4 linked regions of the Oryctolagus cuniculus genome follow. The protein of the gene in region 2 purifies or fractionates together with the protein of the main gene of each other region. This does not show direct contact. Links are inferred from orthologs where the notes say so. Each region holds a gene or a part of one and is shown on either strand. Other genes may lie near its edges. The genes, in order: GIT2, ARHGEF7, PAK2 and NCK2.

Region 1 (8,176 bases), on a different chromosome or scaffold from region 2:
CAATAGCTTTTACTGTGTAGGTGGTGGATGGTGTTTTTTCCTCGTCACCGTTTTCACATGCCTGTGGTGTTGCTAGGAGGGGTCACTTTCACCAAAGGGGGCCACCGAGTGCTCAGTTCCAGCAGTGTCTGTGGACTGAAATTCGTGTTTTTATCCCTCGGGTATCTACAAACGTGTGTTATTGATTTGCTTATTAGTGTTGTACATTTTCTTAGCAGCCTGGATTTGTCTGAACTGGCAAAAGCTGCTAAGAAGAAACTTCAGTCCGTGAGTATCCCTGTTTACTAGTGGGACCAGTGCAGGCATCAGCGTGTCCTGCTGGGTCCCGGTCTCAGTCCCAGTTACCTGTTGTGTCAGATGACGTTGTCTCGTGCTGTCAGATGTTGTCAAGTGAGAAGCAGGCCATTGTTACGAGCCAGTGAAGACGGCAAGCACTGTTGAGTTTAGACTCTCGAGTTCTTTGGCTCTGCTTCCGGAGACCCCATTTTTCTGTCAGTGTCACGGGTGAAGACTGTGTCTTTGGCGTTGTTTCTCCTCTTGAAAGCCTTGTTTTCTGTCAGTGTAAATGAGCAAGTGGGGCGCACCTCCTTGGGATGACTTCCTAGAGCCTCCTAGAGCGCTAGGGAGTGAGGAAAGCTGGTCCAGGCGTGGCGATGAGAGCCATAGACGCGCTCGTGCCGCTGGGCACCAGCCGTGGTTGGAACTGACTTGCCCTTCCCCATGCCATTCATCAGAACTTTCCAGATGGACACTTGGAGAAGCCAGTAGCCCTGGCCCGTGTGTTTAATCAGAGTTGGCCCAGCTCAGCAGGTTGCAGCCTCCCTGTGGACTGTGTGTTTCTCTCCAGCCTGCCCTCCTCTGCCTTAGTTAGGACCCTGGCAAACTCCTCTGGGAACAGCAGCACTTTGTGCACCCCAGGGTGCTTCCTGGCCACACTGTGCTCCTCAGCTGCCTGCTGTCTGGGTCAGAGCCGAGATCTGTAACCCTTCATATCTGGGGGCGCCAGTGCCACTTCCCACCTCAGCTTGCGCTGCTTCCCTTCATGCATGCATGTCTCCGTGTTTCTTTGTGGGCGACACTCTCTGAGGCCAGGAGCTGCCACGCTCAAGGCCTCTTCCACGAGCCCTTTTTGCCTGCAGTGTTTGCTTTGCCCAGCTTCCACCCTTCACCATTCAAGGAGCAAAAATCTGCCCCCGACGGTGTAGGCGGTAGCTTTCCCGAGGCTCTCGATTTAGGACGACTCCTTCCCCTCCTCGCAGAAGGCCCTCTACCAGCACTTCATAGGGTAATAAGTACTAAAGGTCACGTAAATGAGTTTATCCTTGCTAGCGTTTAACTGTATCATGAAATAAATGTGTTTTATGCAATTTGGTGTCTCTGTGTTCTATATCTACAGTTTTGTGTGTCTGTGTTTTGTTGCCTTTCTTAAATTAAGGAGGTCATGTATTAAGACACCTTCGGTGTCAGCACAGAATATTGTATGGTTTCCTTTTACTTATAACATGTAAGCGAGCTTTTGTTACAAGGAGCTGAAGCCTAGAGAGAGCCCAGTTTCCCTCTGACCGTGCTGCATGTGCTAGGCTGGAAACGGCGTGAAAGCTGTGGTTATGTCTGTAATCTCGGTAGCATGTGGTGGGCGTTCAGTAAACATCTGGAGCAGAGTTAAGGACAACTCTCCGAAACTCGGGCTCTGGGTCAGGCAGGTCAGGTACGTCTCATGCCTGCCAGGCTCCTCAGCCTTCCTGGGCTTGCTGTTGTCTCTTAGCAAAGGGAGCTGACGATACAGCAGAGCTGTGACGGGAAGGGCAAGCAGCTGTTCCCTGTGGGCCCCTGCTCTGGGGCCTCCATGTCTGGAGAGCCTGGTCGGTGTGCGTCCTCCAGTACCTTCTTCCTTTCCTCCTCTCCCTCCTGTTCTTCCCTATTGAAAAGCTGAGAGAAATATAACAAAGATGAGTACATTTATATTTCTTGAATGAGAAAATACTAGCGTTTTATGAGATTCAACCTGGATCTCTGGTCCCTCATGTATTTACTGTAGCTTTAGGCAAGCTGGTAACTTGCAAGCCTCAGCACCTTTTCTGTAAAACAGAACGGCAGTGGCTGCTGTGTTTGTGGGAGTGTCGGAAGCACCACATGCGACGCTGTTTGCACAGCTCCCGGGATGCGAGCCTCCCATCGGCGTCGCCTGCTGGGGCTGTAACAGGGATGTTCGTGTGGCGTCACCTAGAGGAAGAAGCTGGTTGTGAGCAAGTTCAAGTTCCCAGTCCCTCGTCTAACCCAGCTCTGGGTTCTCAGTGTTCATTTTTATTTATAAATGTCATGTGACAACACACTACCTTGGATTCAGGCTCAGTATTTTGGTATATTTCTTTCAGTTTTTATTTCAAATGCATGCAATTTTTTTTCAAATGGAACTCAATCATTACAGAATTTTATATCCTGCTTTTTTCTCCTAACAACGTATTGTGCCTATTTTGCCATGTTCCTCTGGAGTCTTGGTAGCCAGCATCATAAATCGTCACATAGCACACTTGCAGTCAGTCTGGGAGATGTTTCCCGAGCCCAATACTGCTTGTGGGGTCAGGAACACAGTAGGGAATTTAACACATTCAACATCTGTCCTCTAAGAATAGGGGGTCCCCGAGTGCTAAGTTTCGGGGTGAGTCATGAGGCACAGAGACCTGGAGCCGCTCTGGCGAACTTAACCTTGTCTTGGTGGGAAAGGCCTGTTGTTGTGTGGCCCATCCCCGGCTGCTGCCAATGAGGGTGCTGGCACCACACAGCCCACTGACGAGGAGGGCAGCTCAGTGCAGGGGCGGGGAGGGCCCCCACCATGGCAGGTGGCGAAGGAACGTGAGCACGGTCTGTGTGCATTTTTGTGTGTTGGCACATTGTGTTCTCTCAAGATGGCATGTTTTCACTGCCTTAACCTGCCAAGAACTTAGGATTTTGACAAACTGGCAAATGCTGTGAGGAGCAGAAGAGATCACAGGGCGATAGCTCGGGAGGAGTGAAGACTTGGAACCTGCTTTTTGAGATTAAGCACTTTGGGGATACTCTGGGCTCCTTACAGCATCCCTGTCTGTCTGTCACCGAGCAGCGAGGCTGCTGCGGTGGGCAGATGCTTGTAGACCACCGTATGATTTTGAAACTTACTGTCTGTCTAACACTGGGTATTTGCTAAGCACTGGCTTCGGGTGATAACAGGGTGAATTAAGTCCCAGTCCCCTCTCGTCCTCCTGGTGTTAATCGTTGTCCCTTGTGTTCCTGATATTTTTTACTTTCAGCTAAGTAATCATTTGTTTGAAGAACTTGCCATGGATGTGTACGATGAAGTTGACAGGCGAGAGACTGATGCAGGTGACTTGACATGTGGCTTTATCTGCTAAGCTTCTGTTATCAGTGGGCAGTGACAAGCTGCCAGCCTCAGTGTTGTACTTGCCCGATTCCTACCGTCCTGATATCGTGTGTGTCGACATTGACTTTTGAGTGTGTTGGCCTCAGAGTGTGCTTTCCCAAGTCTCCCTAGTAACGCGTGAGCCGTGCCTCCCAGAGGAGCAGGTGTGATGAGATTCTGTCTCTGGCTTTTTCCTCTGGCTAGTCTGGCTTGCCACACAAAACCACAGCACCTTGGTAACCGAGACAACCGTCGTCCCCTTTCTTCCGGTCAATCCCGAGTACTCGTCAACACGAAACCAGGCAAGTGGTTCAGTTTAAAAAGTAATTAGTAGTTGTATTGGTGGGGGGATGGCTGTTTCCCAGGACAAGTTATTTAAATTTTTTGATTGACTAAAATTTCGTACTTTTTATAGACAGACAACTCACAAAATGATAACCAAAGCAATAGATGTAAGTAGATGACTGGAAAAGAATATGTAATAACTCAGAGATGAAGTGTGAATGGCTTACAAATACGCAAGAACATTCACTCTTAGCAGTAATCAAAGAAGGCAACATAAAGGTGTTTGCCAAAGTTTCCTCAGTCAAAATAATAAAATATAGAGGATACTCCAGGCTTGAACGAACATGGCAGGATGAGCTATCTCATGCTACAGATTTTATGTTGCTGTAGACTTCAGAGAAGCAATTTTTTTAAAATTAGTTTCAGAATCCTCAAAATCCAGTGCATCCCTTTGGGAATGTCCTGATAGCAGCAGGTCTGCAGGCTGGCTTTCCGAGCGCCGTGTGTGCTAATGAAGTGTTAGCAACAGCCCCGGCGTGCTTCTCAAGGAGCAACGCTGAGTCACTGAGGAAGGTGCTGGAGGTTGTGATTATAGGCCACAGGTGAGGACAGAGTCCCTGCGTCCAAACCGTTCACCTTATTCTGAAATTGAAAGATCTTACTCCACATTAATTTTTTACTACTAGATGTACTTCAAAAAAATAAAAGAATTAATCATTTTATGTTTGGTCACAAGAATACAATACATTCTCACATTTTGAGAATTTAAATGTTAGGAACTTCTCCCATATAAAGGATTATTTTTTTTGAACTGTTAATATTTGAGTCAGTCATGGCTGTGATGGATCACAGCTTTGTTGGGCAGGAAGGGCTTTGCAGGAGTTGTCGATAATCTGACCAGCTTTGTGGTCAGATTATGTGTACTTACACTGGGGAACATGGGCAATTATTTTCTCATCCTTAGGGCAGACAGAAATTAGCTCGGTTTAATGCACACGAGTTTGCCACGCTGGTCATCGACATTCTCAGCGACGCCAAGAGGAGGCAGCAAGGCAGTCCTCTCTCTAGTGCCAAAGGTAACTGCTCAGACCTCTAAGGGTTTTGTGCTTTTGTCCTTCTAAACTCAATCCAAGTGTCAGTTTTAAAGTTGCACGTTACTGAACGCAGTCCTTCACATGGCAGCTTCGTGCAGTCCTGTAAGTTTGGTTGGAAGTATATTAAGTGACTTGGCCTTTCTTATAAATTATATCCTGAAATTAACCCGGGAGTTGGACTGGCTCTTGTTAAAGAACATAGAAAAAATTCTTGATTAGAATGGCATCTTACCTGCTGTTGCTTCCTAAAGTCACTTACATCGATTAAAATTTGCTGGGGCCTCACACTGGCTGCGAGGGGCCCTTTCATTTGTTGGCTTAGTGCCGTGTTCGTGTTTTTGTGTTTTTTGCTGGTGATTTTGGTTCAAAAATAGCCCCAAGCATAGTGCTGAAATACTGCTGGTGTTCCAAAGACTGAGAAGGCTCTGAGTGCCTCAAAGAAAACCGCGTGTCCAGTAGCGTCATTTAGGTGTGCTGTCTGTTGCAGTTGTGAGCTCGGTGCCGAGTCAGTGGTATGTATTAGATAAGGGTCTTTAAGCAGAAGCACACACGTCTCACAGTTGAGTATTGATTGGTTAAGGAAGGGTCATGACCAGAGGCTCTCGGGAAGCTAGCCCTGTATTTTCCCTCGGAGGGTACACATTGCTAATTCAGACTTTGCAGCCATTTTTTAGAGCAGGACTGCCAAGAATAAGAGATTGACTGAGTGTGTATAAATATACTTAGAAAAAAGACTTCAACACACAGCAGTGACTGTGAGTGATCGCTCTGTATTTCCTATATCGAATCTTAGTACTCTATCATCAGATTATATGTATTTGTTTTTAAATGTTAATTTAAAAATTAAAATAAGACCTAGTCCTTTTAAGTAACTGTAGTTCATCACAAAGATACGATTCACTGAGCTATCAGGTAAGTACTATTAGAAATCAGAGGTTTCCTTCAGTTGCCTGACAGGAATTGGAGAGATGTGGGTGGTTGGTAGAATCTTATGTAGGCAATGTCCAGCGTCCCATAACACAGCACCGGTTCGAGTCCTGGCTTCTCTGCTTCTAAACCAGCTCCCTGCTGGTGTGCCTTGGGAAAGCAGTGGGAGACGGCCCAAATAACTTGCGCCCCTGCCACCTACGTGGGAAAGCAGGATGGAGCTCCTGGCTCCCAGCCTGGTCTGGCCCAGCCCCAGCTGTTGCAGCCATTTAGGAAGGGAACCAGTAGATGGATGATCTCCTGTTCTCTGTTTCTTTCCCTGTGCCTGTTACAGGCATCTGGGGAGTGAACCATTGAATGAGAGATCTTGATCTCTCTCTTGCTGTCTCTTTCTGTCTGCCTTTCAAATAAATAATTTTTAAAATAGTGTGTTAGGGCCTGCAGAATGATGAGTCCTGCCCACCATGGAGGATATTCTGAATAAAATGCAAGTGTGCATGCACTGGATTCATTTTCCTCCCTTCTGTCTCACTGGGATTCAGGTGACTGAGGCCAGGGTTCCTGTCTCTAAACCTCAACAGTTCGCTTTCTGTTTTGACTTGTGACAACTTCACCTTCAAGTCTGAAGCCACACTCTATCAGTAGCAACTTAGGGACCTTTCCCGCTAGTCCGAGCCTCTCTTCGCTGAGCCAGCTCCTTGGTTTGCTCACATTTGGCAGGCGGGTGAAGGGCTGCTTCAGTTGCTCTGCACAGCTGTCCGTCTGCGGGATGACTTCTCTGTCTCCCGCTCGGTCGGGTGTGGCTGTGATGCTGCTATTCTTGTCGTTTTTCTTTCTGTCCTTTAAGTGGCTAACTCTCCATTTTTATCCTCTCAGTAGTTTGTTTTGGAAGGAAAGCAATGTTTTAAGCCTGAAGTAAAGTTCTTTGCTTCTGTTGGTAGACAATGTGGAGCTCATACTGAAAACCATCAGTAACCAGCACAGCACCGAGAGTCAGGACAATGACCAGCCAGACTATGACAGTGTGGCTTCAGACGAAGACACGGATGTGGACACAGCGGCAAGCAGAGCAAACCGGCAGAAGGTGAGCGGGCACGCCTCGCGCAGAGGGGCTCTGCTTCTTGTAGAAACCTTCCTTCTGCAAAACGGCCCTGTGTGTCAGTCACCAAGGCTGTGGGACTCAAGTTGGGTTCACTGTAGCTTGGGCCAAGCAGAGGTGAAGCAAGCTAAATGGTTTGCAAATAGGGGTCCTTCGTCCCTGACCAGCTGCTGAAATCACAGCCCTGCCACCTTGGTGACTTTGTAAGGCCTGTGAGGAATGACCGGTGTGTTTTAGTCACTCAACAAATGTTGATTAAGTGACTTCTCTGGATAATAACTCCACTGAGGGAGGCCTAGTCCCTGACCCCTAAGCATGTCCCTGTCTACAGGAGAGATGGGTGAGGCAAAAGATACAAAGTGATATGCATGGTATGACTCACAGAGGGGCAGAGGGCGAGAGAGGAGGGGGAGCCAGTGCTGGCCGGGCTGGCTCTAAGACACGCCCTCAGGACCCAGGGGCTTAGGGCCTCTGGAGGAGGCAGAGCAGGGTGGGTGGGGCAGAGAAAGGGCGAAGCCAGGGCACCTGGAGAGACAGCTTGCCCTGCAGAGGGACAGCCTGGAGAGCTGGGACTCGGGTACGTCAGCAGGCATGTGACAGGAGCCTGGCCTCACACGCAGTCCATAGCCCAGAAGGCTTCAGACAGGGCAAGAGGGCAAAGGTCAGAAAGTAAAAGGAGGGAACCCAGGGAAGACACTCCCCAAGAAGTCCCGATAAATTGGTGTAAGCCACCTCAGGCCCTAGGTGAGGAGGGCCCAGGTGAGACAGAGACCATGGCATCAGAGTGAGCCAGGGAAGGGGGCTGGAGCCCCAGGCAGCCCACCCACTCCTGCATCCCCTCGGCAGGCCCACGGGAGTATTCCACAGACGTTGCCGATGGGTCATGAGGAAGGTAGACTATGTAGAAAGGTCTTGGCAGTAATTTGGAGGTCTGAAGTGAAGAAACAGACTTACAGATGTGTCTGGAATTTTCCGGCTCACATGACTGAGAATATGATGGTGCCATTGGCAGGTTCAGGAGAGGCCCCCACCCAGGCTCCCTGGAAGCCGCCTGGTGCACTCAGTGAAAGCCAAGGCCATTACAGGACCCTCGTGCTGGGCCCTCTTGACTGACTGACCTCCCAAGGCCTGCACCCTGCACATGTACTCCCTCGGGCTGAGCTCTGCCCCCAGCCGGAGTGTTCTTCCAGACGTGGGACTGGCTCCTGTACCTCCCAGGCTCTCATCCACACCTCACCTCCTCAGAGGCTTGCCCAGCTCCCTGACTAACATGCAGCCCACTTGCACCCCTGTTTCAGCTCCTCAGCCCCCAACCCTGCTCCGTTTTACCTTTGCCCACAGCACTAATCACCATCGATCACACCATGTATTTAC
Region 2 (8,896 bases):
CAGACAAGGATGGTGCTGCAGACCAAGAGGCCGCAGAATCTTAAAAGTACCTGCTGGTGTTACACATGAAGAGGGCTGTGTTGGAGAGCAGGTTTTCAATGCTGCTGAGACCAGCTTGTTTTACAAAAATGTTGGCAAACAAACCTATGTAATGCAAATGGCTCCAAGACCAAGCCCAGCGCCAATGCCAAGGGTGACTAAGGGTAAACCCCCCCTGGCGTACACAGCCCAAACCCCCCCAGCCCTTACAGGGAAAGACGAACCGTGTGCCAGTCCCCTGGAGGTGGAACACGGAAGCATGGGTGGGGTCCGAAGTACTCTGGGGTCGGTTCCACAGCTGCTTCATCCAGAAGCTGAACGCTATCGGGGGCAGAAATCTTGCCTTCGGGGTTTTATTAATTTTGGATAGCGCCCCGGTTCACTACTTCTCTCCACGCCTCCCTACACTGCATCTCTCATCCACCCTCAATCAGGGCGTAACCAAAGCTTTCAAGGCACACGACATGGCTGTACAGTACGGCTTGTGAGGGCTTGAGGCCGACGCGGGGGCCACCACGGGGGACTCCTGGAGGTCAGCCAGCGTCCACAGTGCTGCTGGTTATGTTGGCACGGCCTGGGACAGAACCAAGCAGGCCTCTGTCAGTGACTGCTGGGAGAGTGTGGCCAGAACGCGGGCAGTGTCGAGGCCTTGAAGGTGTTACAGAGGTTATGAAGAACAGCATCGAATCCATAGTGTGTACCGCACAGCGCATACGTGGAGACGGCGCCAGTGACTTGAAGGAAGAAGATGTGGGGGCCGTCTTGGCAGAAAGGGCAGTAGAACCCACCAAGAAAGACCTGGGCCAGACGGCAGAACGGACTGGAGTCGGCAATGAAAGTCAGGACCGTGACGACGGTCAGCCCAAGGCTCCAAGAATTGTCCCTCTCACAGGGGCCAAAACATCAGAGTGGAATTCTGCCTTGGGAAGAACCCTCAGTGATGTGGAAGGACGTGACCCCTGCTTAAACGCAGCCCCACAGGCAAGCGCTGGCCTCCGCTGCATTGTCCCTCACTCAGATCTGGCGAAGAGCCAGCCGGACGAGGCGGAGGCCGCTTTCCTAGCAGACCTGAGAGGGAGTGGGGCTGGCACCACCAGCGAGCTGCCGAAGCCGAACTCTTGAGATACAACCGCCAGAGCCCGGCGTGCGTCCTTCACTGCAGGTCCCTGTGCGGTCGGCCCCTCCAGCCCGCTTTGTTCTGGTCGGGAGGCCGCACACGTCCCGCTGGCCGTGCACACAACCCCAGTTCCAGCGCTGCGAGAGCTCACAGCAGCGTTTGTGAGACTGAGTGCAGTCTTTGCCGATTGCTTTCAAGGCTGCCTTTGCACTTCCTCACTGCACCCCGTCCGTGTTGACAGGGCTGTGTGTGTTCATGAGAGTTCCGCATACGTGTGCTGCGTGCGGGAGCTACACGAGTGCCGACACGGCAGAGTGCGTTCATGACGGCGGGATGGAAACAGTGTTTAATGAAGAAGTACTGCACACAAGGATCTGTAACATGTATGTGTGCATATAATGAACTGTATTTAAGCAAAAATAGGCATGAAACATGGTCATGGATTGACTGCTTGATGAAATACTGTGACCGAAGTCTGTCAGGAGACAGACCATCTGTCCTGTGAAACAAGGTTTGCGGTAACTGCAGACCACAACACCACAAGCAATGGAGCTCGACTGCACATTTGAGATCAAGCCCCGGGAATCTAGGTCTTAGGGCTTCGCTCCTGGATTGCAGCAGTTACACAAACTACGGGGAAATACGTTACAGTTTTGATAAGTAATTATTAAATACAAATGGCCAAAACTTTATTTGGAAATATCTATTTTAATAAAAAATATTAGTATCAAAATTAATTTATGTAACTTTAAATATATTAATTTTAAATATATTTAATTAAAATTGATATTAAAATTAAAAATGTATTTACTGGCGAGGCCGAGACAGAGACAAAGCTCCCATTTGCGGGTTTACTCCCCAGATGACCACAACAGCCCAACCAAGGCCAGGAACTCCCTCTGGGTCTCCCCCATGGGTGGCAGGGGTCCAGGCACTTGGGCCGTCAAGTGCAGCCTCCGTGGTCTGCGTGAACAGGAGGTTGGAGGCAGGAGCTGGAGCCCGGGATCCAACCCAGCTATTCTGATACAGGACGTTGGCCTTTTAATGCACACTGTAACCATCAGGCCAAGGGCTTTTCTAATCACTCCGTCACCCTGAATGACTGACACTTCCTGCTAGAATGAGATAGGCTCCGGCATCAACTGTATTTCTTTCTTTCTTTTTTTTTTTTTTTTTTTTTTTGACAGGCAGAGTTAGAGAGACAGAGAGAAAGGTCTTCCTTCCGTTGGTTCATCCCCAAATGGCTGCTATGGCCGGTGCGCTGCGCCCATCCGAAACCAAGAGCCAGGTGCTTCCTCCTGGTCTCCCATGCAGGTGCAGGGCCCAAGCACTTGGGCCATCCTCCACTGCACTCCTGGGCCACAGCAGAGAGCTGGACTGGAAGAGGGGCAACCGGGACAGAATCTGGCACCCTGACGGGGACTAGAACCAGGTGGGGCCAGCACCGCAGGCGGAGGATTAGCCTAGTGAGCCGCGGTGCTGGCCTACTGTATTTCTACCTTGGGGTTTACTTTATGCAAACACTGTTGATAAAATTTAGTACATGGAAAGGGAGTTTGTCATGGTACAACCTAATTCTTGGAGGCCTTCTACACTTTCTCGTAAAGAAACGGATTTAAGTCATCAATTAACAACGTGATTCGGTCTCCTGGAAGAGCTAAGCAGTGGAAACCCCTGAGGTGCACAGCCCAGGTCAGTAAGGCGGCTGGTTTCTCAACATCGTGGGTACCTGTAATTCTTCACGTGGTGCACGGCCTAGAGGTCCCGCCTTGCAGCTGAGCACCTCATGAAGACAGCAAATGGGTGCAAGGCCAGCTTTCTATGTCAAGTGGGAAGTGGGCAGGTGGACAGCCAAGCCAGCCCATGTCTTCCTGGACACAGGCATCTAGGCTGGGCAGTTTTCAGGAACTGCATTTGCAAGTTGTGAGTCCTGAACACCATCCTGTGACGGCGTGTCCCTTGAAGTGTCCCCGCACAGAGCCACGTGCAGCCGGCTGCTTCGGGGGCGCACTCGTTTGATACCTGTAATGTCCGAGAGTCTTTATGATGAGCAGCACCCAGCTGTGTCACACGTGTCACCTGACAAGTCATCGACCTCCCTGGGTCTGTGCCCTTATCTCCAATTTAAGGCTAACACCCAGCCTCTCTCACGGGCATTGGGAGGAGCAAGTGGGTAATTAATTTAACAATTTTATTGGGCCTGGACTCCGTAGCAGGTCATGTTCTGAGACAAGGTCACTGCCTTCCAGGAGGCGGACAAGACTTGCCTGCTACATAGCAAGTGCGCCCCCCCCCAGATGGACACGTGGGACCATGGAAATACAGTGGAGCGACATGTACACGCTACAGACACAGGGCAGGGCCAGAGGCTTGGCCAGTGCAAAAGGTGACGTCTGAGTTGGGCCTGGAGAGGGAAGAGGCAGGAAGACCTGCACAATCAGAGGTGTGCCACTGTCAAATCCAAGGTGTTTTCAAGGACGGAGATGATTGATCACGGATGAAACAGCAGTGGGGAAAATGCACTTGGGCAATTCAAAGTCCATGTTCACACCTCGCCGGAGAAGCTGCACCGTGAGCTCAGGAAGACGCGTTCCACATTAATGCTCAGGGAACTGCAGATTCAAGCCGCAGGTAACAATGCGCACACAGCAGAGTGGGTCACAGGGAGAGGGGCAGTGTCGAGCGTGGCAGGGCGACATGCCAGGGACAAGGAGGGCACCACGCTCACCGTCACCAGAGTACTCACAACCCAGCAAGGGCTCCCCCGCTCCAGGCTCCAGAGGAGGTCAAAGAACTCGGGCCTCAAAGGACGAGCAAGTCCCCCCAGTTCACGTCCCAGAAACCTGTCCCAGATTTCCATCAAGAACTGTCGTCAGGCAGAGGCCCTGAACGTCCCCAAACTACTCGGATTCTTCTGTGAACTAAGGCAGAAGACCGTTCCAGCTTAATCACAAAGCAACGTTAAGACAGACTTTAGCTGCCTCCCTTCCTCCTCCTCAACGCACCACGGCCTCCGGACCAGGAGCCACCAACGTGGCCGCAGTCTAAGCAAAGTGCCATTCCTCGGCCAGGGTTCGAAAGTGCGTGCAAGGTGTTAGCGTTAGTGCAAGAGGGGGAATAGGCGTTACAAGCCAGGGAAGCACACAGACACGGTGTTGCCTTAGAAATTAGAATTAAGACCAGAAAATGGACAAAGCTCACCACATCTTACCTCCTCATGGAGCCTCGTCCCCAGAAATTCTTCACTACAGAGACAGCCCCCAACCCCTGGTTCACTCCCCACATGCCCACAACGGCCAGGGAGCAGGGGGCCAAAGCCAGGAGCTGGGCTCTTCATCGAGGGCTCCCATGCCGGTGGCAAGAACGTAGCTACTTGCACCATAACTGCTGCCCTCCGTGATCTGCGTTAGCAGGAAGCGGCATCAGTAGCCAGAGCTGGGGGAGAATCCAGGTCCAGCAACGTGAGACGCAGGCATCCTAGCATCTTACCATGAGTGCCAGCCCCAGGGCCCCCAGAGATGTGGCTGGGTGTGTTGGAAGTGCGGCCCAGGCATCGTGTGTGTGTGTGTGTGTGTGTGTGTCTGTGTCTGAAATCCCTCATCTGACACTGAATTTCATGCAGGTTTGGGAACCAAACATCACAGTCTCCTGCTTCTGTCGGACTAAGGTGGAAACCACGGCACTGGCTTTCTCGAAAGTTCCTGGGAGGCTCTGATGGTACCGGGACCATCCTTAGAGAACTAGCAGGACATGCAGGCTGAACTCTGAGCGAGCAATGTCGCCTCCCCCTGGGCTGCCAGCAACAGCCCGTTCCTCTGAACCCTGTGGCTCTGCCTGCACGCCCACCGCGGGCACACCTCACCTGTCCACTGGACACAGGCTCCCTACCTGCAACCACAGGTGCCTCACTGGACACAGGAGGTCAGCAAGTGTGCACCAAACGGCCCGAACCACTGGGCTCCCTGATCTCACCTACCACAGGGTGAGTGAAAGAACCTTAGTGTTCTTGCAGAAAACAATTGAGGTAAGTCTGCTCCATTACAGGTGGGGAAGTCGGGAGAGCAGAGACGTGGAACAGCCCCGGACCAGCCGGCTGACCTCGGGACCGCACGGGCCAGGCTCCCCCGGCCCTGACCTCGGGACCGCACGGGCCAGGCTCCCCCCCCCCGCCCTGGTTTCCAGGGGGTCCGGCCAACAGGAGGCCAGGCATGCAGGAGAAGGAGCCCACGGCGGCTGCAGGGGTGCCGTGCGTGTCTTGCCCCAGCCCTGCACCGGGCTTTATCATGTTGGTAGTCTGAATTCAGCCATGGTGGAAACATCTACAGGCAAATCAGCAAACTACCACAGAGCGCTGGTGGTGCCGGGTCCACGGAAGCCGCCACTGTTCCTCCAGCCCAGGAGGAGCCACGGCGGCTCCAGCTGCTCCCACGTCCTGCAGAGGGCGTCCTTCCCCCACGCTGCCCCGCTCTGGCTTTCTCAGCCATGCTTTCCTCAAGCCCCCTCCACCACCGCTGTTTGGGGAGCCGTGTGCTTTCCACTGGAACCCTCACCCCGAGAGCCGGCAGCTCAACACAGAGCACGGCAAAGGCGAGTGATGGGAACAAGAGACGAGACCGATGAATCCCAGCACCACAGAGCAAACCACCGGCACACCGCCGCCGCCGAGACACGGCTTCCTACCATCTCCGGGGAGGGCGCGGCGGGGGACAGCACAGATAATGCCGACCCTGCTTCTCTAGAAGAAAATTAAGTTTCGGGAACATTTGGAAATGCAGGCAGTATCTCTCCAAGTCCGTGCTGCGTCCAGGGAGGCCAGACAGGGCCTGGAGTGCAGGGCAGGAAGGGAGGCCGCAAGGGAACCGTTAGGCGCCTGCACCATGCAGTGTTAGAGACGCACATGGGAAAAAGCCAGCGGTCACAGGACAGCCTCCGGGAGCAGTGGACCTCCCCGTGACCATCTCCGAGGTCCAGCCACACGCACGCTGGGGTGCTCGGAGGACTGGGATCCAGCGCGGCCTCCCGGATGCAGGAAGCTGGAATAAGGAGCCAGACCCGGGACGCAAACCCACCCAGCGTGGGACGCGGGTGTCCAGCAGCATTGCACCTCTGCGCCGAGGGCCCCGCGCCCTCGCCTGATTTTCAGTTGCGTGGAAACCACTGGTTTATTCTATTCACACGGCAGCCGTCTCTTGTTCACTCTGCTATACTCTCTGCTCACTCTGGTAAGTGATGCTAACTGGGGCAGAAACACGAGGGAGCAGGGCTCACCTACACTGAGGACGGATCAATCAGAACCTCCAGACTGACCCACTGGACGACAAATGCCGCAAGCAGAAATGCCAAGGTTTGGTTGCTAATGCACACGGTAACAGGTGGCCAAGTACCCAAGTAATCTGTTGAAAAAACAATTTAAATAAAGGATGTTTCGCTTTTGCTTTCCTCCAACGTACCCCAGAGCACTCCCTCGTGGGATGCTGCGGTCACCAGGGAGAGACCCCGAGTTACCCGCGAGTATGACGCTGGACATATTTAAAGAGTAAAAACAAGCACAGATGTCCCAAACCTCTAGTTCCCAGGCTAAATCCAGAAACACCAGGGGAGTGCCAGCGAGACTGCGGTTCTCAAATTAACTCATGCGTCCCCTGAGGCTCGGTTCCCACAAACCCCAGAAGCACGTCATGTCCCTCGGAGCTGGTGGCAAGCGTCCCAAACTCATGCCAATGCCAAAAATGGCTGTATTAGAAATGTTTACAGATAAAACATTCACCCGATGTATCTGAAAATAAACTTCTGGCCGGCACCGCGGCTCACTAGGCTAATCCTCTGCCTTGTGGCGCCAGCACACCAGGTTCTAGTCCCGGTCGGGGCGCCAGATTCTGTCCCGGTTGCCCCTCTTCCAGGCCAGCTCTCTGCTGTGGCCCGGGAAGGCAGTGGAGGATGGCCCAAGTGCTTGGGCCCTGCACCCTATGGGAGGCCAGGAGAAGTACCTGGCTCCTGCCATCGGATCAGCGCGGTGCGCCTGCCGCAGCACACCGGCCACAGCAGCCATTGGAGGGTGAACCAACGGCAAAGGAAACCTTTCTCTCTGTCTCTCTCTCTCACTGTCCACTCTGCCTGTAAAAAAAGAAAAAAGAAAGAAAGAAAGAAAATAAACTTCTCCCCGGGTCACATTTGTTCTCCCAGTGACATCAGATGAGAATGTCGGCAAGGTGTCTGGCAGTTGTCAAGGGAGAACCTTCTGGAAAACAGAGGTGCTGGCCACCGCTCAGGGTCGGTCTGCGGCGACAGGGACACCAGGAAGCAGGTGTGGCCAGGAGGAGCCACTGCTGGCCTCCTGACCGTTCCTCACTGAATGCCACTTCTCGTGGCTTGGTACAAATTCGTGACAACCCACACTGAGTCTTGTGGTCCAGGATTTTCCTCAAAAACGTGCACCTGCCACACGCAACGATCCTGTCCCCTGAGCTCATCCGCACGCCTGTGTCGTGAGTGGTGGCGTGGCATCTCTAGCCCGAGCCACAGCCCTCGTGGCTCTCAGCTCCCACTCCTGTGCTGATCCAAACTGCCGGCCCCACCTCCTCCCTGGGCAAAGCAGCACACACGGCACGCGGCGGCGACATCGCTGCCTGTTGCCCACCGCTGAGAGGCTGTTGGAGAGGACCCGTGGTTTCCAGAGGGAAAGTGCTGATGGAGCCAAAGCGGACAGTCACGGGGCTCCCTGGCGGTCATGGGCAGGCCAGGGCGCTCAGAGCCCTGCCCCCTGTGGCCACATGCAGCCTGCTGGCTACTGGGACAGCCCTCAGATCTGCCTGTGCCTTACCAAGAAGCACCTCTCCCTGCAGTCCCTGGCGGCACACGGGAAGCCCAGAGGGCTCTGGTGACCGTCCCATCTCCTCGCACTTCACCTCAGCAACTCCGAGGGATGCCCCTCCTGCCACTCAAGTCACGCCTGGTGCTCTCTGGCCAAGAAGCCGCACTGATGGCAAGTGACAGCCTCGGAGCCACACTAGAGAAGCTGGACATGACCACCTAGGGGAAAATTCTATCTTTATTATGATTATTATTATTATCTGACAGGCAGAGTTAGAGGAGAGAGGGAGAGATCTTCCAGCCACTTGGGGTTCACCCCCCAAATGGCAGCAACAAACAGGGCTGGGCCAGGCCAAAGCCAGGAGCCTGGGGCCAGGAGCTTCCTCTGGGTCTCCCATGTGGGTGCAGGGGCCCAAGGACTAGAGGTGCATTAGCAGGGAGCTGGATCTGAAGTGGAGCAGCCGGGACTTGAACTGGCACCCTTATGGGATGCTGGCACTGCAGACTACAGCTTTAACCCAGTGAGCCACAGTGCCGACCTGAAAAATTCTGTCTTAATCCACGCATTAACACGTGGAAGACTTGAAGGTGCACAAGGAACAGTGGCTCTTTGTGGAAAGGCGATGAGGCAGCAGGAGGGAACCCGTCACGCAGAGAGAGACAGACGGGGACTGGAGACAGCTGAGCACGCTCATGGCCAAGTGCATGGCTACACAGCAGCGAGGCCCTGGCCAGGCAAGAGAGGACAGGACACTGCAGCTTAACGGCCTGTCGTGGGCCAGCTGGGACTTTCACAGACTCTGGGAGTAAGAAAAGGGGCAGAAGGGATCATTATCACCTGAAAGACAGACGTCGGCAGAGTGCGGGTGAGACAGAGGTCAGAGCCAAGGAGGACGTGTGTGGCAGCCTGCACGTGCAAGCCTGCATCTC
Region 3 (7,107 bases), on a different chromosome or scaffold from region 2:
TAATTACATTTCTATCTACTAAAACAAACAAAAAAGTAAACACATTAAAACAAAAAGATGTTGAACTCAAAATATAATTGGTTTTCTCAGTACAGAATGAAAACTTGCTTTGTTGGACAGAATTATCCTACATTTCTTCCTGCCTCTTATCTTAGCAATATTCTAGATTGATGAAAAAGGAAGACTCTTCAGCTCTTTCAAGGCCAGACCACTGCGATTCTTCTCTTGGTAATGCCAACACCTACCATAGCATCTCTGCCAGAGTGTTCAACAAATGTGCTGAGAGGAAAAAAATGTGTGTTTTATTTAATTCATATACACATATACACACTGTGCAAAAACTGATATTAAATGTTTAAATATCTATCGCGGGAGCAGTGGAAGACCATCTGCTTTTTATATTACTATGAAATTCTATCATAAAAAACAAAATGAATATTAATCTGGATTTTAGCTATAACCTATAATATTATTTTGACATTTCACTGGATATGGATCTCAGTATATTTAAAGCATTTTAGATTTAAAAAATTGATGCAAATTCTTTAAGCACTTGTTTTTTTCTTACTGTAGCTACTGCCTGATAACATCTAAAATTATATAATATATACAAACACACATGTATTTAAGGGAGTCATACAAAGAAATACTTACAGGTAGTTTAAATGGCTTGTTAAAGGCACAGGTTTGTTTAGGACTGGTGGTTCCTAGATACATTTTTTAAGCAGTTTAATATTCATGTTGAAGGGAAGTCAGACTATGTGCCAGGTGCCCAACACATGAAGACAGAGTTGTGTCAGCCTTGAGGTCATGTTACATAATCACTCTACTTGTTTACTACTGTAGGTAGCATAAAATGTTCCAATATTGTCATGGTTTCCCAGTTTTTAGCTGTCCCTTAAAGCAGCACAAGGAACAAGAGTAGAAGATAACTTAAAGACCACCAGAGAGGTTAAAATATCATAAATAAGTATTACAGTAATATTGCCCTAGTAATACAAGATGACTAACGTAATTTTCAGATTTAAATGGGAATTTTCACCCTGAAGTGGTGACAAAAAAAGATGAATATAAAAAGCAATTATTAAAAAACAAGAATCTTGATTCAGATACAGTAGTTCTTTCAAGAAGATCTGAACATTTTAATTTAAAATAACTAATAAATCACAATTTCATATTGCTTTCAGGATTATTTTGTTTAAAAATGACACATTTCAGAATTTACTAAAGTATACTTCTATTACAGGTTAGTTTATCCAGGTAAGTAAAGAATACACCACAGTGTAGCTCCCTTAACCAAGGAGTCAGATTTCAAAGTCCGTTGCCAGCAATGGACGTGCAGGTAACCATCCGAGAGGCTGTAAATACAAATCCCAAACTGCTTCCACCGTCTGAAAGGCCCTTTGTTGCACCACAAGCATAAACTGGGGCCCTGGCACAGATTCGAGGGAAAAAGTCCTTATGACTTAGGATGGGAAGCGCCTTCTTAAGTGGTCATGATGATCAGTCTCATCATCTAGTCGGTGTTTTCTCTCTCTCTCATTGGCAGCATCTTCATCATGATCCATCCATCCAATCGTCTACAAAGAGTGCTCAAATCTGGAAGTTAAGGGGCACTGTAGCTTTCCACCAGAAATAAACCAGCTTGTTTCTATAATTTAGTAAGAGCTGTAGAAGGCCAATATAGTCCAGAGAAAAATGCAATCAAGAACCATACTGGTATCAGAGATCATTAAGTGCTCTATATAAAAGTTTCATTAATTATTTTACTCATTTTTCTGAAAATCTTTCTGTGGTATCAACACAAAATAGTCATTCTACACTGATATCTGTGTCTTAACACAGATACGACGGGAATAACAGGAAATAAAACTCTGCTGGTTTTCCAATATACTACAAAACAGCATACTTATTTTCATTAATGATTTGTACTATTGCAGGATGGCAAGCAGGTGTGAATTTCACTGGGAGGGCATGGTGGGAACAAAATACCAGAACTCAACCGAAGACTTTTTTATGTGGTTCAAGGCATGTCAGAGTAGACCATTCCTCACCCAAAAGCCAAACAACCGAGAAATGAGGAGAGAAGAACAGGAGAGTAAAGCACAGAAGGGAAGGGGAGGAAGGGGCATTCTCATAATTAACAGGTCACAGACCTTTTCTTAATCTTTAAAATAAAAAAGGATTCCTATCAATACCGCATTTTTCTTTTCCTCAGATTTTTACATGAATATTCTCTACTTCTCTGAAAAAAAAAAAAAATACTAAAGTAATTCCACATCTCCAATGATCCGTGAATCCACCAAGAACCTTCTCATTTAAGTTCTCTTACACAGTAACACACTGGTAATGTGTTAGAATCACTCTAACTTATGACAGCCTTTACAGTTTACTCGTCATCATTTGGAACTCTGTAATACTGACATTTCTCTCTCATGAATACAGTCTCAACTAATTATTCTACAACTCACTAAAGTTCAATCTCTCACTTTGTCTCTGCTAACCCCAAATATTTTTCCCTTTAAGTGGAAAACAAAAGTTAATTTTCAAATTCTGAAAATTCAATGATTATTACAGAGTAGGATGTGGTATGAACAGGATATGTAAGGTGAGAGGGTTACATAAAAACAAAAACAAAAAAACTAAACCTAAAATTGCAACATATACAGAAACTTATTTCCAAAATGAAAGAGGAAAGGAGGAAAGGAAAGGTAATGGCACTAACCAGTCATAAAGCCCAAGCTGGAACAAGAAAAATCACTTTGGTTCCTCCTCAAGCCAAATCTGAAGAGGAGAAAGGCAGAAAGGAAGACAAAACCGTCAGGGTGTACAGTCGCCGGGATTCTTTTTTGTCTCAGTGATTTAGTTATAAATATAGATTAGTCTTCTTTCTATACATGTAACAAACTCCAAACTCACCACCATGAGATTTCTCAAAGTGACCCTTTCACATTTGTTAAAAAGGTAAAAATCACATACTTTTCTTCCCTTCTTTCAGTTCAAGTTCTGAACTGAAATATTCCATGAAACCATTGCTGGTCCTAACTTCTATACAAAGTTAAACTATGCTGAGCTCCTTTGCCAATGAGGAGCTGCACAATTTCTATCATACTTGCCTTGAATTCAGGCACGACAAAAAGTTCTCAAAGCAACTCAAAAGGAGCAAGTCGAGGAAAAGGAGAGCTCTGAAGGAGAGAGAAGACCAGCAGGTGAAACAAATATGCTGAAAAACTCGAATCTGCCCTTCAAGTATTGAAAACACCCCAAAGGGGACAAGAATGGGATCTATTCCAACAAAGTTAGCAAAATAAAATGCAAATCTCAAGCATAAGGAACAGCCCTGACGGCTGTCTGCTGAAAGATGTAAGGCGAGTGACTCAGTCCACAATTCCTTTGGACCCTAAAGAAGGGGTTCATCTGAAAGTCATGATTCTCTTTTTGCAATTTTGTCTTAGTTGTCTTCAAGAAATAGTAGCTTTGTTTTTCCTCCATTATTCAGACCATTTCTTTAAACCCCGAAAAGAGCAGTAACTTTCATATATTAAAAGACTTCTTTTAGGAAATGGACAAAGGAACATGAGGCCACGGCACTGATGTTAGCGGTTACTCTTCATTGCTTCTTTAGCTGCCATGATGAGTGGTGTCAAGCTGGATAATGGTTTGGCCAGTTTCAGGAAGGGATGCTGCCAGAAAAGGGGAGAAACAAACAGGTAAATGCTATCAGCTTAGAAACAAAATGTTTCCTTTCAACTAATCCCCAAAGACTACTTATGAATCATGGTTTATTTGTTAAAGTATCCCCACAAGTCAATATCCATATGAAACCAACATAATCAGTACAACACCTAAAGCTGAAAGCAACCACTTTACTTTTCCTAATATAAATCTATAGTTAAGGCCACAGACATATCCAGGCCAGCAGTGAACAGGCCTGAAAACTGACAGTATGCAAAAACTCATTATGATGTTACAGATTTTTATTCCCAGAAGGAGCCCTAAAATGCAGTTACCACACCAAGGTGATCAATACATAGTGAAATACAATGATTTGCCACCCTATGAAAACCTTCTCTAGATTACTCAAAACACAAAGGCAACTAAATTTTCCAAAAATGACATCATTTCCAAATTACCTGCAGCAGTTCTTTGGCTGAACCTCTCTTCTCCACATCCATTTCCAAACATCGATTTAAGAAATCCCGAAATATGGGGGAAAGCTTCTCTGGATTCTGAAGTTCTGGGGTTCCATTAGTTGCTATCAGGTACAAGGCCTAAAAATGGAAGAACATTTTTACACACTTATGATAGTGCAACAAACTGACAGATCACTTTACAAAGTTTGTGGATCTCTTAATTCTTTAAAAACAAACATCAACATCAAAGTGAGGTTATCATTTTTACTCATTTGGTTCTGAAATTTTTCCTTTTTCATTTTATGTACTTTTTAAAAAGATTTATTTACTTATTTGAAAGTCAGAATTACAGAGACAGGAGACATAGAGAGAGTGAGCAAGAGCTTCCAATTGTTTGTTCACTCCCCAAATGGCTGCAGCGGCAGGAACTGAGCCAGTCTGAAGCCAAGAGCCAGAAGCTTCTTCCAAGTATTCGGGCCATCTTCTGCTGCCTTCCCAGGTGTGTAAGCAGGGAGCAGGATCAGAAGTGGAGCAGCCAGGACTCGAACCAGTACCCATATGGGATGCCAGCACTGCAGGTGGCGGCTCCACCCACTACACCACAGCACTGGCCCCGCAAAATTATTTTAATGGTTAAATCAAACAGTATCTTATGTTCTCTATTATAATCAATAGCCTTTAGAAAATTCTTGTATTCTTTATGTACTTCTTTATTTCCTATAAATTTCTAGAAATGAAATTATTACTTTTTGATTAACTGTTATTTAAGAAGTTTTAGGTTTGTAGAAATTGGAATTGAAGCCTGATTATTTCTACATCCCTATAGATATCCTTTCTCACCAGGCAGTCATTCTTTGAACACCTGGTTTGTGTAGCTACCAAGGCCACTATATATACTATATACAGACACAAGAAGAACTTTAACTTATGTCATAGCACCAGCCCGAAGTTTAACAGAGTCTGGAACTTAATCCAGGTTTCCCAGGTAGGTGGCAGGAACCCAACTACTTGAACCGTCATCTGCTGCCTCCCAGGGTGCATATTAGATGGAAGCTAGATCCACAAGCAAAGCAGGGACTCAGCCCAAGCACTCTGATAAGAGATGTGGGTACCAAGCAGTATCTTCATTGCTGCATCCAATACCCTCCTGAGTCCTCATCTCAATGGCCGTAACTGCAGTTTCTGACAAGCTTACTTTCTTTATACAGGTTCCAGGGCATATATTTATTTGGCTTTTCCTCCCTTTCCAGCCATTCCTTCTTTCTTTCTTTGACAGGCAGAGTGGACAGTGAGAGAGAGAGACAGAAAGGTCTTCCTTTGCCGTTGGTTCACCCTCCAATGGCCGCCGCGGCTGGCGCACCGTGTTGATCCGATGGCAGGAGCCAGGTACTTATCCTGGTCTCCCATGGGGTGCAGGGCCCAAGCACTTGGGCCATCCTCCACTGCACTCCCTGGCCATAGCAGAGAGCTGGCCTGGAAGGGGGGCAACCGGGACAGAATCCGGTGCCCGACCGGGACTAGAACCCGGTGTGCCAGAGCCCCAAGGCGGAGGATTAGCCTAGTGAGCAGCGGCGCCGGCCTCCAGCCATTCTTTCTTAGTCTGCTTTGTTGGTCTGCATCATCAACTTTTAGCTACTCACATGACCTGGTGATCTCATCTGGATTCACAGCTTTGGATAATAACTATCACTAAGGCACCATGATTTTATACCTGAAATTCTAGCCTGGATTCCAGATTTGCATACCCAATAATCTATTCAGCATATTCACTTGGATGACTTAAGAGGCACCTAAAATTTAGTGACTCTAAGACACGTTAAAATGTTATCTACTGATATCCCACCTACCAACCAGATCCCCTACTCTTACTGCATGCAATTGTGGTCATCTCAGTTATGGAAATCTTCTGTTTTTTTTTTTTTTTTTTTTTTTTTTTAATGTATTTATTTATTTATTTGAGAGTCAGAGTTACACAGAGAGAGGAGAGGCAGACAGAGAGAGACAGAGTTCTTCCATCCACTGTTCACTCCCCAATTGGCCACAATGGTCGGACTTGCGCGGATCCGAAACCAGGATCCAGGAGCTTCTTCCAGGTCTCCCACGTGGGTGCAGGGGCCCAAGGACTTGGGCCATTTTCTACTGCTTTCCCAGGCCATAGCAGAGAGCTGGATTGGAAGTGGAGCTGCTGGGACTTGAACCAGCGCCCATATGGGATGCTGGGACTGCAGGCGGCAGCTTTACCTGCTATGTCACAGCGCCAGCCCCTGTAGCCTCTCCTTTCAAAAAACATCCAGAATTCAACTCACTTTTTACCACCTCCACTGATATGACTGTGGTCTAAGCTACCATCATTTCTTATTTCTTGCCTGAGTTTTTTTTTAAACAAAGATTTTTTTATTTACTTGAGAGGTAGAGCTACAGAGAGAGAGGGAGAGAGAGAGAGAGAAGGTCTTCCATCCACTGGTTCACTCCCCAAATGGCCACAATGGCTAGAGCTGGGCCAGTCTGAAGCCAGGAGCCAAAAGCTTCTTCCAGGTCTCCCACGCTGGTGCAGCGCCCCAAGCATTTGGGCCATCTTCCACTGCTTTCCCAGGCCATAGCAGGGAGCTGGATCAGAAGAGAAGCAGCTGGGACTCGAACCAGAGCCCATGTAGGATGCTGGTGCTGCAGATGGAGGTATAGCCCACTACTCCACAGCACGGGCCCCGCTTGCCTGAATTATCTCAACAGCCTTTTAACTGGTCTTCATACTTTTCCCTTTGCTTGGATAATCTCTTCTCAACAAAGTAGGCAGAGATCCTGTTAAAACGTTTGACAATTTTATTCCTCCACTTAAAACTTTCCAATAGTTTCCCCAAGTTACGTAGAGAAAAAGCCATCATCTTTCCAAAGGCCTTATAAGGCACTTAACAGTCTAACCTACCTTACAACCTGCTGTTTTCAGGATGTAATCTAGCTGTGCTGAAATCTTCAA
Region 4 (6,856 bases), on a different chromosome or scaffold from region 2:
CTGCTGTGGCCTGGGAAAGCAGTAGAAGATGGTCCAAGTCCTTGGGCCCCTGCATCCATGTGGGAGACCCAGAAGAAGCTCTTGGCTCCTGGGTTCAGATCGGTGCAGCTCCAGCCATCGTGACCATCTGGGAGTGAACCAGAGGATGGAAGACCTCTCTCTCTCTCTCTGCCTGTGACTCTGCCTCAAACTGGCACCCATATGAGATGATGGCAATGCAGGCAGGGGTGCCACAGCACTGGCCACTGCTTTTTTTTTTTTTTTTTTAAGATTTATTTGAAAGGCAGTCACAGGAAAGAGATCTTCCTTCTTCTGGTTCCCTCTCCAAATGGCCACAATAGCCGGGGCTGGTCCGGACTGAGTCTGGAATTCCATCTGAGTCTCCCACGTGGGTGGCAGGGGCCCAAGCCCTCGGGCCATCTTCTGCCGCCTTTCCAGGTGCATTGGTAGGGGGCTGGATCAGAAGCGGAGCACCAAGGCCTCCAACTGGTGCTCCTATGGAATGCTGGCATCACAGGCAGTGGCTTGACCTGCCGCACCACAATGTTAGTCCCTGAAATAATACTTTCCAACTTGTCTATTCTTTGCATTTTCAACCTCGGTCTTAACAGTATTTTGGCATTCTGGCATTAGGCAGTAGGAATGACAGAAAGGTAGATTAGCACACAGAAACTAAAGACAAAATGGTATCAGCACCAAAAACATTTTGTTTGTAAATGTCAGTTGTTATGAGGAATTCTAATTTAGATGCAAATTTGTGGGGCACTTGGAGGAAAAAATGGACAGATAGAGCTCTCTGGAAATATTACTTAATGCATCTGGTCGTAAAACCTGGTAGTTGTGACTGTAACTCAGCAGGGTCCCTGTATGGAATGACATTTATGTCAACTGAAGGTGTGTTTAAATGCAAACAAGGGAACCAAGTTACCCAGATACCCAACGACTCACCTTCATTGCTCTTCGTCTTCCCTTCAATGTCTGCCTAAGACTCGCTCAGGCCATCTGTGGATGTGCAGGAGGGTCACTGGCATCCGTGCCACCTGCCTGGGGCATTGGGGAAGCTGCTAGCCAGAGGCTCATCTCATCAATCCGCCCTCCACCTGACAGCACCATGTCCCAGGGTGCCAGTTCCTTAAATAAAACACACACACACACCAGTCCTGGTCTACCCATAGGCGCCAGTTCCTTAAATCACACACACACACACACACCAGTCCTGGTCTACCCATAGCGCCAGTTCCTTAAATCACACACACACACACACACACACACACACACACACACCAGTCCTGGTCTACCCGTGGGTGCCAGTTCCTTAAATCACACACACACACACACACACACACACACACACGCACCAGTCCTGGTCTACCCATAGGCGCCAGTTCCTTAAATCTCACATACACACACACACATACACACACCAGTCCTGGTCTACCCATAGGTGCCAGTTCCTTAAATCATACACACACACACACATACACACACACACACACCAGTCCTGGTCTACCCGTGGGCAGCAGGAGGATTTGGCAAGGCACTGAATCTAATGAGCCCAGGCCTAAAAGAAGTTCCTGAAACCAAAATGTTCATCTGTCTTCAGTCCTTTAAAAAATCATTTGATTCCTCCCAGAAGCGCTGTGTCGAAATCCAGTCTCTCAGCAGTGCGGGTACTCGTGGTGTAGCGGGATCCTTGCGGGTCTAAATGCAGCACCCAGCAGTGAGAACTGACAGAGTCCACAGGCATGCTATCTCTTGGATGAAACACCCAACAGATGTCTCCACCTCACTCACCTGCAACGCTGTCCGGTTTTTCAAATGAAGAGAAGGGAGCATCCATTCTGAGAGCCGCCATCACTTTTACTCTGAGGATACCAACAACTCTACACGCCAGCAGGCACGCAGGCAAGGTTATACATCAAGTTTATGATTGGGAAAAGGAGTCGGTCTGGTGGGGCATGTTGGAGAACAGGATGGTGGTGTAAATCTTCAAACACAGGCCCATTCAAATGCTCTGGCAAGGGGCTGGCACTGTGGCATAGCTGGTAAAGCCACTGCCCACAGTGCCGTATCCCATATGGGCACCAGCTCGAGTCCCGGCTGCTCTGCTTCCGATCCAGCTCTCTGCTATGGCCTGGGAAAGCAGAAGATGGCCCAAGTACTTGGGTCCCTGCACCCACTTGGGAGACCTGGAAGAAGCTCCTGGCTCCTGGCTTCAGATCAGCTAAGATCTGGCGGTTGCTGTCATTTGGGGAGTGAACCAGTGGATGGAAGACCTCTCTCTCTGGCTCTACTTCTCTCTGTAACTCTTTTTCAAATAAATAAATCTTAAAAAAAAAATGCTCTGGCAAATTTATAAATTCCCAGGTACCAATTAGTGCCCATTAGCCCCCTGCTGCTCCCACGGCCACATTCCTTTTGGGGGCAGGTGTGCCCATCCTCCGGCCTGCATTGACGGAAAACAGACTGCAGCCGCATCTCTAATCCCAGGGCAGTTTGCTGCTCTGAGAGACACGTAGGCAGCGTCCTCTTACAGTTCACTACGACTGGGGCAGTGGGCTGCCAGCCTCATTCTCCATCAGCTTCTAATGGACCACAGTGAAAGGCGACCAAAGAATCAATGAACTCAATGCCAACAGGAATGGCAGAGTCAGGACGTACCACCCGGCTCTGAAATTCCTTCCAAAACTCTGGGTTTGCATCCCCTTGTGCATGACGTCATGCCTAACCGTCTTGGTCCCTACAATGGGGATCACGGTGGTGGTAAGCACGGGGTGGGGAGGACGCGCCATGTGCATCAGTCCTGGTCCACTAAGAGGGCACTGATCCGCGTGCCGTGAGTTGCACTCCCACGGCCTGGCATGCGGCCGCCATCCACTAAACACGGACAGATGGAGAGAGCCAGAGCGCAACATCCGAGGAGGGCCACCGGGAATGCAAAGACTCTGGCTGGCGACCGTCGAGAAAACATTCTGAAGCCAGCAATTCTCAAAGAGCGAAGTTAAGAGCAAGCTTGTTGGAGTTTCCCTCGTTAGCAGGGGTTATTTCAATATTCAAAAACGCGGTGGCAAGAAAGTCACAGGGAGTGCACTCCTGACCCTGCCCTTGAGCCTGGTTCTTCCTTTCAAGCTGGGAGAAGTCACCCAACACAGCGGTCACCCCTCCCCCACAGCAGTTAGCGTCTCCCCAAAGACAAACGCACACAGGATCGTGTCATAATACTTTTTTTTTTATTACAATATTCAAAAAAACTGGGTATGCAAGTTTAGGGGATCGCAAGACCCCTTCTTCCATCATAGGAATGTGCCATCTCAAGACTGTATATTTAAACTATAAAGAAGTTCAAATGTAAAGAAAAAAAGGGAACACGATTTCTTCATAAACATCTTGTGTCTCTGACTACCAATCACATTTTCTTTTGTAAACCCTGAAAAATTTCCCTGTAAAGCAAATAAAATATTTAAGTATATACACACACATACACAGACATGCACACGCATGTGTACAGCGTGCATGTGTGTGCGTGGGTGTGTGTATGCTTGTGTGTGGAGTGTTGGTAGCTCCGCTTCCCCCACAGATCAGCTGTTTTCCTGAATCATCCCGCATTAGTGTCAACAACCAGCTACAGATACGTAGGACTTGGAGAACTGAATACATCACCGTGAAGTTCAAAGGAGCTGCAGGCAAGAGCAAACAGCGCTACGTGGATGGCACACTTCAGGGGTCAACGACCAAAACGCGTGTCTTATCTTGAGTCACCGGGTCCCTCCGTTGCAGAATGCCTCTCGAGGAAAATTCTTTATTGCAAGCACGGCCCCAAGGCACTGGACAGCTCCCTCGTGGCCTGCGCAGCCTGGGGGCCCTGGCTGCGTGCACGGTGGCCCTCCAGCCGTGCCCAGGGTCTCCACGTGAGCAGAGGGTTGCCGCCACTAGTTGGAGAGAAATAAAGTGAAGACACTCGGCCCTTCCGCCTCCTTCTAAGACCAGCCAGGAGGGATGGTCGCACCCGGCGGTGGCGCCCGGAGCTGGTGGGCGCAGCGCGGCGCGGCCCCGACCCGAGGGCCCACGGCACAGGTCACTGCAGCGCCCGGACGAGGTAGAGCTTCTCCCCGTGCTCGCTGGTGAAGATGGGGGCCTTTTTGTAGTGTTCCACCAGCTCGTCCATGGTGTGGAATCGCCGCTGCCCAATGCAGTACACATTGTCCACGAGCTGCACCTTGAAGTGTTTGTTCTTCCCTGACGCTTTGAGAGACACGGAGAAGTCGCTGGGCTGCGGGAGCAAACGGCACAGATTACACCAGGGCCCGAGAGGGCGCGGGCTGCACGCTCTGGGGTACTCCACCCCTCTCCCCACGGGCCACACCCCCGGGCCACAGGGTTCCCAGAGGCGCAGGTGTCTACCACGGCACCTGCCGCTCCGCCCGACGACCCCTGCTCAAGGACTTCATTTGGCTGAGTATTCAGTGCTGAACACACCTCCTTCTTTGACACGTGGGACCCGAATGCTAGGAAACACTTTTCACTTCCCGAGCTGTTTTTGAGAAACTGGAATCTAAGACAAGTGGTTTCCATGCAGGCAGAGGCTAGAAATTTCCCTTCTTCTGACTTCTAATACTATTAGAAATTAAACCTTTTTTTTTTTTTTTAAAGTCTAAGCCATTTAAAAATAAACGCCTAGGGCAGGTGTCTGGCCTAGTGGCTAAGATGCTGGTAAGATGCTTGGCGTGTACAAAGGGAGGAGGGCCTTGCCTCATTTTCAGCAGTGAAGGGAAGGGGGAGGGGTCCTGGCCTCCCTGGGTGACCTCAGCCCCTCGGAGCTCCCCCCGCAGCTGCGTCACCTGGCCCCTGCCTATTGTCCCAATCAATGAGCCTAAAGCATAACCTCCCCCACACAGTGCCCATTCTAGTCCTGGCCATGTTGTTCTTGGGGCCATCTGTCTTCTGCGTGGTTATCATACCCTTAAGCTCAAAGTACAGATGCTCCCCCCCAAGACCAGTCCCACACAAGGTCAGTTGTCTCCTCCGTGGCTTGCTATGTGGCACCAAGTCTACGCCACAACCTAGGGCAGCCAAACCCAGGTCCGCAACCCACTTTCTGCTCTCGTAATTCCTAGGGACAAGCTCTGCTCCTACCCTCCCTCCACCTCCCTCGCAGCCAGACTCTGGCCACAAGTTTCCAAAAGCCCTCAAATAACATTCTTCTGAGGAGAAGGGAGCAGAGCCTGGACACAAGGATTAACAGAGCCCACGTGGGCGCCTACTCAGGAGCATGGGTGTCCGAGAAGATCCACACTGCACAGGGCAGCTGGGTGCACACACTAGCCACAGCTGTTAATATGGGTGTCCGAGAAGATCCACACTGCACAGGGCAGCTGGGTGCACACACCAGCCACAGCTGTTAGCACAGCAGGCAGACAGGGACAATGGAGTTTACAGTTAGCCTGTGCGCTGTCCCTCTGCCCAGGACCAACAAAGCAAGAATAAGCCTTGGAGGGAAAAGCCCCTCTTTATCTCCATGCTACCCGAATGCCTTGGGGGAGCCCCCAGGAAATGCTGGTGAATGAGACTCCAGGAAGAGCCCCGAAGGTCCATCCCCAAAGAGGATGCAGGCCAGCTACTATTTTCACAGCCCCTAGAGGGTCAGACCTGGATGGCACACTCAGGCCAAGCTGCTCCACCAACATGCACATCCACACGGCACCAGGCGGCCTCCTCCTGAGTCACCGTGTGGCCTGCGCACCCTCGAAGTGCGACTGTGCTCACAGGGCTGAACAAGACGACGCAAGCTCGCCCCGCTGTCTCCGTCCAGGTGGGCGGCTGTGTGTGGTTCTGAAGGCCCAACAAGCGGAACCAGGCACTGCCCGACAGGTCTGGTGCACACGGGCAAGCTCCAGACGTCAGCAGTATTGGAGGACCGCGACACTCACTCAGCCCTGGCCCCCTGCACAGCACGCACGGGACCCACGGCCGCCAATCAGAGGGCACTTTAAAAAATGCATGGAAAACGGCGTTTTACATTGGCGCAGAGTTCCTGAAATCCACATACTGTTTTCTCATTACACTCATGTTCTGTGAACTCTTTGCAGACTCCAGTACAGGCATGGATTTAAACATTTTTTGCACTGGAGCTGCTGTGAAGGCTTGAGGCACCCAATTTTCATCAAGCCGAGTGATCAACAGATGACCTTGGAATAGGTGAATTTGCTTTCCCCTGCAGCTCCTTAATTGAACATCATGGGGTGTGTGTGTGTGTGTGTGTGTGTGTGTGTTACAGGAGTAACACTGATGCAGCACAAAAGGTACTTTCTAATTTCATGGGCTACCAGGCAGAAACAGCTTGTGCCAAGCAGGAGGGCTGACGGTTTGGGGCTGTTCTTAATTCCAATCAGGCAGATCTTCCACAAGAAACCGAAATCGAACAACCCACGTCCTAAGCAGACACACCGCCACACGTTTCAAGCTGAGCACGCCTTATCCAAAATGCTTGTGATCAGAAGCTTGTTTTGGGGTTCGGATTCGGAAATATTTGCACTCCCATAATGAGATATCTCAGGGAGGGGACGCGCATCTACACACAAAACTCACCTGTGCTTCACATACACTTTGCACTCATAGCCTGCGATATTTTAGACAAGTTTGTGCCCGAATCAAAGTTTCATGGTGTGGGATTTTCCATGTGTGACAGAGTTTCAGATTCTGGAGTATTCTGGACTTCGGGTTACAGATGTCTGATCTATACCGCGAGACACCATAGGAAGCCTGAAAACACATGAGACCCCAGGCTCTCCAAGTGTGTTCCCAACTCGGCACCACCGGTGTCGCCTGGAAACGTGTGACAAGAGCAGACTCTCGGGCC

The links.
Region 1: the proteins of ARHGEF7 (region 2) and GIT2 purify together in Homo sapiens (affinity purification with mass spectrometry; 6 studies listed by BioGRID and IntAct, counting the BioPlex papers as one, with this or other methods). This does not show direct contact. The link is inferred for Oryctolagus cuniculus from reciprocal best matches to the Homo sapiens genes ARHGEF7 and GIT2.
Region 3: the proteins of ARHGEF7 (region 2) and PAK2 purify together in Homo sapiens (co-immunoprecipitation; 5 studies listed by BioGRID and IntAct, with this or other methods). This does not show direct contact. The link is inferred for Oryctolagus cuniculus from reciprocal best matches to the Homo sapiens genes ARHGEF7 and PAK2.
Region 4: the proteins of ARHGEF7 (region 2) and NCK2 purify together in Homo sapiens (affinity purification with mass spectrometry; 3 studies listed by BioGRID and IntAct, counting the BioPlex papers as one, with this or other methods). This does not show direct contact. The link is inferred for Oryctolagus cuniculus from reciprocal best matches to the Homo sapiens genes ARHGEF7 and NCK2.

Annotation. Positions count from the first base shown.
Region 1 is NC_091452.1:18,836,026-18,844,201, reverse strand, and holds part of GIT2 (ARF GTPase-activating protein GIT2), read left to right. Parts: intron 1-215; coding exon 216-267; intron 268-3,287; coding exon 3,288-3,360; intron 3,361-3,601; coding exon 3,602-3,699; intron 3,700-4,646; coding exon 4,647-4,758; intron 4,759-6,644; coding exon 6,645-6,787; intron 6,788-8,176. UniProt on the Homo sapiens protein: GTPase-activating protein for ADP ribosylation factor family members, including ARF1.
Region 2 is NC_091440.1:2,145,034-2,153,929, forward strand, and holds the start of ARHGEF7 (rho guanine nucleotide exchange factor 7), read right to left. Parts: upstream 5,104-8,896; 5' UTR 1-5,103. UniProt on the Homo sapiens protein: Acts as a RAC1 guanine nucleotide exchange factor (GEF) and can induce membrane ruffling. Functions in cell migration, attachment and cell spreading. Promotes targeting of RAC1 to focal adhesions. May function as a positive regulator of apoptosis.
Region 3 is NC_091435.1:83,346,843-83,353,949, reverse strand, and holds the end of PAK2 (serine/threonine-protein kinase PAK 2), read right to left. Parts: intron 4,272-7,107; coding exon 4,134-4,271; intron 3,684-4,133; coding exon 3,597-3,683; 3' UTR 792-3,596; downstream 1-791. UniProt on the Homo sapiens protein: Serine/threonine protein kinase that plays a role in a variety of different signaling pathways including cytoskeleton regulation, cell motility, cell cycle progression, apoptosis or proliferation.
Region 4 is NC_091433.1:102,699,349-102,706,204, forward strand, and holds the end of NCK2 (cytoplasmic protein NCK2), read right to left. Parts: intron 4,271-6,856; coding exon 4,076-4,270; 3' UTR 3,209-4,075; downstream 1-3,208. UniProt on the Homo sapiens protein: Adapter protein which associates with tyrosine-phosphorylated growth factor receptors or their cellular substrates. Maintains low levels of EIF2S1 phosphorylation by promoting its dephosphorylation by PP1.